Oryzias latipes: one gene and its partner. The protein of the gene in region 1 purifies or fractionates together with the protein of each later gene. This does not show direct contact. Links are inferred from orthologs where the notes say so. Each region holds a gene or a part of one and is shown in the gene's direction. Other genes may lie near its edges.

Evidence for each region. Proteins that work in one complex are often made in the same cells at the same time.
Region 2: the proteins of smarcc2 (region 1) and bcl7b purify together in Homo sapiens (affinity purification with mass spectrometry; 3 studies listed by BioGRID and IntAct, counting the BioPlex papers as one, with this or other methods). This does not show direct contact. The link is inferred for Oryzias latipes from reciprocal best matches to the Homo sapiens genes SMARCC2 and BCL7B.

Annotation. Positions count from the first base shown.
Region 1 is NC_019863.2:4,297,106-4,300,669, reverse strand, and holds part of smarcc2 (SWI/SNF complex subunit SMARCC2), read left to right. Parts: intron 1-192; coding exon 193-317; intron 318-619; coding exon 620-673; intron 674-2,313; coding exon of another isoform or gene 2,314-2,316; coding exon 2,317-2,354; intron 2,355-2,449; coding exon 2,450-2,580; intron 2,581-2,712; coding exon 2,713-2,784; intron 2,785-2,912; coding exon 2,913-3,026; intron 3,027-3,109; coding exon 3,110-3,263; intron 3,264-3,345; coding exon 3,346-3,462; intron 3,463-3,551; coding exon 3,552-3,564. UniProt on the Homo sapiens protein: Involved in transcriptional activation and repression of select genes by chromatin remodeling (alteration of DNA-nucleosome topology).
Region 2 is NC_019871.2:22,450,542-22,454,731, forward strand, and holds the start of bcl7b (B-cell CLL/lymphoma 7 protein family member B), read left to right. Parts: upstream 1-1,342; 5' UTR 1,343-1,391; coding exon 1,392-1,504; intron 1,505-1,969; coding exon 1,970-2,045; intron 2,046-2,125; coding exon 2,126-2,213; intron 2,214-2,343; coding exon 2,344-2,502; intron 2,503-3,120; coding exon 3,121-3,224; intron 3,225-3,951; coding exon 3,952-4,032; 3' UTR 4,033-4,190. UniProt on the Homo sapiens protein: Positive regulator of apoptosis. Plays a role in the Wnt signaling pathway, negatively regulating the expression of Wnt signaling components CTNNB1 and HMGA1.

The DNA of each region.
Region 1 (3,564 bases):
CCTCTGAAATTAGGATGCAGAACAAGGAAGGATGTTGACAGAAAAATGCATTTGATAAAGCTGATCCTGTCTTAAGCCCTCTTCTCATTCAGCGTCCGAAACCCTTCTCCAGTCCCGACACACACTGCAGGGTTTAGCCGTGCTATAATATAGATCAAAATAACCTTCTGTCCTTCATGTATGTGCTGATAGACCAACAACCCCATACACCAAGTCTAAACGAGGCCAGAGAGAGGAGGAACAGGAGGATCTGTCCAAGGACCTGGATGAAACGTCACCTGTTCCACCGTCTGAAGATGGGAATGCAGCAAAGACAAGTATGCACATTTACATCCCTGTTCACTTTAGATAAGATGGAACTGTGAAAACACACCTTATTGTTCACTCTGACAACCGTTCACTCAGTCACTGTTGGTGAAACATGAACAAAGGGAGGATTGTCACCTTGGTAGCTTTCACTTAAAGGCGAATAAATCCTAACCTTGTGTTTGTGGGACAGTTGGTAAAGCTGACAGAACTTGACTGCACGGATGTTCCTGTTGAAGGGGCTGGTGATTTCTTTGAAGAAGCCCTGGAGTTGGACCTATTTACTTAGTGAAAACCTTCTGTTTCTGTGCAGATAATACCAAGAAAGACTCAGATTCCACTCCAGTCAAGGGAGGAACTGACATGGGTGAGTCTAGTAAAGGGGGCAGACGCATTCGTCTGGCAACTGCGTGGGGTGTTGAGAAAAATATATTCTATTTGTTGATGTATCGCAACAATTCATTTGACGATACTTGTATTGATTTAAAATACTGTCAAGAGGATTTTTATTTAGTTGTTTATGAGCGTCCATCAGCGTCTGACTCCTTTTCCTCTTAGGCCCCCGACCGCTAGTTGGCAGCACCGCCCACTGAGCCTCTTTGAGCAGCTCTATAATGCACCAAAACAGATCTCGTGAGAATTAGCTTAAGTTAAATGTTCAGGTTTTGTTGTTATGAGACCTGAATTTTTAATTTCTTAAAATAAAAATGAAAAATTGGTGTATATTTATTCATATCTAAGGGGAATCTGACTGGAAATATGGGATTGGGCAACTATACATTAGGACTTAAACACTGTCCATATAACCTAACCTGACAGAATCAAATGTAAAAGGATTTATGCTAGAGTAACAAGCACACATATGTTTCTATGCAACTGTAATTGTCGCTTTAAAAAGTTATAATAAATAAATAATGAGTTATTTAACATTAAGGAGTAGTTACATTTATTTATCAGTACATTTAGTTACATGTCTAAGTTATATCTGGCCCTTTGAGGACAGCCACTATGCTGATGTGGCCCTCAGTGAAAATGACTTTGACACCCCTGCTGTAGCCAATACACACCCCTTGGAACTGTTTTATTATTACTAGCTGTTCTTCTGTTGAATTGATTTGATTTATTGATTGATTTCAAGCATTGTAGTCAAAGCAATAAAGAATTTGCACATATTTTTTAAACTCATTACAGAAATTTTGAAATGCATAGATTAAAAAGACAGAAAATAAAACAAAACAAAACAAAACAAAAATGTCACTTAAATCACATTTGCTTAATTAAATACAGTGATCATTAACTAAAGTATAAGTATAGCTTGATTTATTGCTGGAAAAGCAGCGGGAATAAGCAAACCTATATAATCCCACCCCTACTGAGTTAATTCATTTTACAGTTTTTGTAATCCGGTTCTGATCCGATAGAGTCTTTTCAAGTAACAAAATGATTGATTATCTTCAGAAAACATTCATTTATTTATATCAGTAAACAGTATCGGTAACCAATATGTGATAACCATTGATTATTATTAGAACACATGATGACATTAAACCATTAATTATTGCTGCACATTGCAGATCAAGTAAACAAAATCAATAGTTATTGATTGTAATTTAAACGTTTCATTAATCATTATTACACATTACAATGTAAAACTCAGTGGTTGTAATTAAAAGAGCTTTGATTATTTCACCACAATCAAGTTCACACATGTATTTAGAATTATTCAAACAGCTGTTGATCCTTAAATCTTCTTATTTTCATATTGTGAAATCAGAGTTTCTTCATACCTTTTCTTGAATATTTGGATATTTGAACATTTTTTGAGCTCATTACTTAACTTGTTCCAAAGTTTGTTGCCACACACAGAAACTTTTCTTTGTGGTTCTTATCAGTTTGATCTTGACGTTCCTACATCCTCTCAGTTTGTAGCCTTGTAGCCTCCTTCATTTTCTAAGAACTGTTTCTGGATGTTGAATGGTAACGATTTCCCACTGACTCTGAATTAAGCAGATGAGCAAGAGGACGAGTCCATGGAAACCACAGGGAAGGTATTGTCACCTCCAGCAGCGGCGCTTTTAAAACATGGACGCAAACATTCAGAAAAGACGTGTTTGTTTGAGCTCGGGTGTTCTTGTTCCAACAGGAAGAGGAGGAAGGCTCTCCGAGTGTGAAGGGGGAGCCAGTGAAGAGTTCAGATCTTCACGAGGACAACGTGACTGAACAAACGCACCACATCATCATACCAAGCTATGCTGCCTGGTTTGACTACAACAGGTACAAATGACCCTTTTCAACTTATTTAGCAGGAGTTGATCTTCAGGATCATATTCAGTATACAATGTTGCAACAGTTGAGCGTTACAATAGTGACATGAACTCAAAGCTCTTCATAAACTCTGTGATGCAGTGTTCATGCCATCGAGCGCAGAGCCCTTCCTGAGTTTTTCAATGGGAAGAACAAATCCAAAACTCCTGAGATGTAAGTCCTGCATAGATACTGTTCCTTAAAGAAAGTAACAGATTACTATATTTCTTCACCTTTGTTGTATTGATGCACTGTGTCGTTTTGGATGATCTCCGTTTTCTTCCTCTGTCTCGTTCTGTCAGTTATCTGGCGTACAGAAACTTCATGATTGACACCTACAGACTAAACCCTCAGGAGTATCTGACCTCCACCGCCTGCCGTAGGAACTTGGCGGGAGATGTGTGCGCCATCATGAGGTAAGTGGAGCATCTGTTTACATCTCCTCTCACATCTAGCAGCTAACAGGCTGTCAGTACTTCTTTGTTTGTTTGCTCTACAGAGTCCATGCCTTTTTGGAACAATGGGGGCTGATCAACTACCAAGTGGACTCTGAAAGTCGGCCCACACCGATGGGACCCCCACCCACCTCTCACTTCCATGTCCTGGCGGACACCCCATCCAGTTTAGTTCCACTGCAGCCCAAGACCTCCCAGGTGTGTGTATCCTCAGACATTCTCATGCAAATGAAACCTGACCCCGATTGACCTTTTTCCTTCCGTCCCGGTTTTCCTGCAGACTCCTGCCCCCCAGCCAATTATGTCTTTTCCTGATAAAATGAAGGAGAAGCCAACAGACCTGCAGAACTTTGGGCTGCGGACTGACATGTACAGCAAGAAAACTTGCTCTGTGAAGGTAACAAACCAGCTACAACAATCCCTGCACTGTTAATCAGTTTAATTTATCATTATGAATCAATTTTGACAACAAATGTTTGTGTGAAGAGCAAGAGTGCAG
Region 2 (4,190 bases), on another chromosome or scaffold:
TGCTTTTTATTTATCATGTGACCATGTTGACTGCCACTCACATGTTGTCATAGGGAAAACACCTGACATGTTTTCTGTGAGGTTTAATTGTAGATTTAAATATTTGAACACAGACAAACACATATTTATTTATATTTATAACACGCGTCCTCGTGTATTTTCTAACAGGGTCATATTTACGTAGCTCTGGACATGTTAGAAAACATCTTCCCTCAAAATAATCATTTGTGGCCATGAATTTGTATTTTGTGTGCACAAATTAGCATTTTGAAGCCACATTTTGGTAATTCATGGCCACAAATCAGCATTTTCTAAACATTTGTTGTGGGCACAAAGTAGCATTAATAGGAAAAAGGTTAGTACACAAGTTTGAAGGTAGCATTTTGTGTGTACAAATAAGCATTTTATTACTATTTTTTGCACACAAATTAGCATTTGCACAAATGTACAAACTGGCAAATTGTAGTCGGACAGTAGCGTTTTGTGGCCACAAATTAGCCTTCCGTTATAACAACTTAGCATTTTATGAGAACAAATTAGTTTTGTGCAAACAAATTAGCATTTCATTAGCATTTTGTGGGCACGAAAAAGGATTTTATGGGCAATGTATGCATTTGGTTTGCACCAAATTTGTATTTTGTGCATACAAGTTTGCTGTGTACACAAAATTAGTATTTAGTGCACACAAATTAGAATTTTTTGGACACAAATGAGTATTTTGAGCAAACAAATTGGCATTAAATTGGCATTTGGTGGTCACATATTAGCATTCTGTATGAACATGTTCTTATCTTCTCAAAATTCGTATTTTGTGTGCACAAGTTGCAATTTATTAGCATTTTGTGCCCACAAATGAGAATTTGTGGGCATAAACTGCTACTTTGTGTGCACAAATTCGCACTTTGTGGACACAAATAGTATTTTGTCTTCACAATTTGTGGACACAAATTTATATTTTGTGGGCACAAGTTGGTATTTTTACAACACTCGGTGGGCGTAAATGAGTAGGCCTAGTTTGTGTGCGCAAATGAGCATTTATTACACACAAATTAACATTTTGTGTTTACAAAATAACATCATGATGTACGCACATCTACATGCACAAATTGGTGTTGTGTGCACAAATTTCTAATTAGCTAATCCGAGGCCACAAATTATTAATTTGAGGGAACCATTGGTCTTTTTTGTGCCATGTACAGGGCTTCGTACATATTTTATTATTTCCTGAAACGTTCAAAACTATCCCACGCACTTCGAACACACTATAACTTACATTATCGGTACATGACTGAGCACAAAACCTCAAGATTACAGAAAACGAGGAGGTCCAAGTATCGCGAGATTTATCCCTCTGGGAGGATCGGGGCTTGAAGTTTCAGATGCATCGGTAGATGAATCATAACGGGATCAAGATGTCTGGACGATCAGGCCGCGCTGAGACCCGAAGTCGGGCCAAAGACGACATCAAAAAGGTCCTGGCGGCCATCGAGAAAGTGCGCAAATGGTATGTAAACTGCGCGGCGCAAAAAGGGCATGAAAATCGAGACCGCGGCGCGATATCTTGCTGCGTAGCTCAACAAACTTCAGTCGGGAAAGTTGGATGATTGACAAGGCTTTCGACCAACCAGCGCGCCCGTTTGACAGAGGAGGCGGGGCTAGTTGAGTTTTTCCGCCGACAGCTGTCAATATGGCTCCAGCAGCTTCACATGCGGCGGCTTGAGAAGTCGGCGAGCCTCCTGAGAGCTGCATTGCTGTGGAAATCAGACACTAACGCGTTACATTGAATTTCCTCCATTCTGCTGTGCACGGAGAAGTAGAGGGTTTTGATCAGATATTAGCTCCGCTGCACCGGACTATGAAAACACGCGTGACTAATAAATGCGTTCATTTCTCTATTATTATTACGACGCCCTGAAATCTAGCAGCTGCTAGGAGATTTCCCCATGATCCAACGTACATTTCTCCTCAGGGAGAAGAAATGGGTGACGGTTGGAGACACGTCCCTGCGCATATTCAAGTGGGTTCCAGTCACTGAAACGAAACAGGTGTGAGCCTCAGTCAATAAAACACACAGAGACCTGTGTCACGACCTGCATCCTCCTGATGGGTTTCATCCTCTTTCCAGATCTTTCGGACCAAATCTACGGGTGGAGACGTTAGGGGACTGAAGGATGTGGTTCTGGAAAACACCAACTCTTTGCTGGATTTCACAGGTAGCCTGAGGATTCCTAAAGAACATTTTCTTTATCATTCATATCTTGGATCAATTGGGTTTGATTTAACCAGATCAAAGTGATCCTCCATTCCAAGGGTTTCATGATTGTTCCAAACGTCTGCTCTTAGATGACAACAGCAATCAAAGCTTCATGTCAGACGTTTATCAACCAAAAATGGACAACAGCAGCAGCAACTCCAGCTCCCAGCAGGTCAGCCCCCCGCATACCTTCAGCCTCCGAGCGGAGGACTCCCAGCCGCCCATGCTGGGCCAGGAGAGTGTGGATGGTATGTAAATAAAACCATGTCCAGAACTGTCATTAAAATCCTGTTTTTGGTGTTTCTAACATGTTCTTGTTGCATTTTTCTGATGATGGCCATGTATAAACAATTATAGCTTAAAACTGCATTTCTGAGTATTTTTTTATTCAAACTGTGAATCAGGAGCAGATAAAAAAAAAAAAAGTGGTGGAGGATAAAGCTCCCTGCTCTGCTCCATTTCGATGCATCCACAATCATATCCATGTTCGCCTTTGTTCTCCTTGTCCAAGCTGGCTGGATGCTCCAATGTTGCTCACCAGTTTCACCTGTAATGTTTTGTTGGGGTTGTAGGGGGCTGTAAGCTACTGGGAGTGAGTGTAAACAAAGGAGATGATGGGAAATTACTCTGCGCCAGTGGTCCCGCCCACAACTCAGAAGAATTCCTAATGAACTGCTGCTGCTCTGCAGAAACTCTCCTAAGAAACAATACAAGTTTTTTTTTTTGTGTGTGTGGCTAAAAATAGCATAATAATAATTAAAAGACCACTGGGAACACTGAAAATAGATCAGAAGATGACTTTAAATGAATAAAAACAAAATCTCTTCCTAACTTAATGACACAGTGTCTTCTCTCTCTTGATGCAGAACCAGTCCATTTGGGACAGGAAGGTGCAGATGAGCCACCTACTCTTATTAAAGAGGACCCTCTCTCATCTGGAGCCATCAAACGGGGAGCTTCAGATATACAGGTTTCTCTTCGACAGCTTCCAAGACAAACTCAAGCACATCTTCATGAAATACAGTGGTCCCCTTAGTATATTGCGCTTGGAATAAAAGAGTGTAATTCTGCGTGTTGTTCTTTCTAACAGCGTATCGTGTTCTGCCCCCTCATTGGCTCTTGACAACGGTCAATCAATCTCCTCCATGCACTATCTCCTAAGCAGTCTGTTTGAAAAATGGGCACAAATCTTCAATTGTGATCAGATGTTTGCTTTCCGTCTATGATCCTTTACATACTTTTCTGGGAAGGTTTGAACTTTGAGAGTTTAAGCAAGAGAAAAAAACTGGGAAAATGTTCATTTCTGTCTGAGAAAATAGTATAAAGTGTAAAATAAAGATAAAGTCCCACTATCTGTCACACACCTAGGTGTGGGAAATTTGTTTTCCGCATTTGACCCATCCCCTGGGGGAGCGGTGAGCTGCCGACGAGCCGCGCTCGGGTGGTCCAAGCCAACCCCTTAATGTTGAGTGTCAAGCAGGGAGGCATTGGGTCCCATTTTTAAAGTCTTTGGTATAGTAAAGTGGTATAGTAGGCATTCCAGCCTTGAAACATCTGTAATGCTACTCTGTGGATTTCATCTATCGCAGCGATAAACGAGGGGACACTGTATCCCATTTCACGTCGAGTTAGTTATGTCCTGATAAGTTTTGAGGTGTAAATAGAAGCTGACATGTCTAACTTGTACTCTTGTCCAGCAGGAGGACCTACCGGTAGATGAATCGGGGGCACCGCCTTTGAAGAGGATTTGCAAAGGGGAAAATGCAGCGCTGAGATAGCTTTTGTACCACCTTTTTGTCCGTAATGCATAAGAAACCTGCTTGGATGTTGGGAAATTAACAACATTTTCAGAATTATGATGGGTTTCTTTTTACATGTTTATGCAAGTATTACTCATTACAGTTCAGCTGAGACTTTTTAAACTGTTATGAAGCTT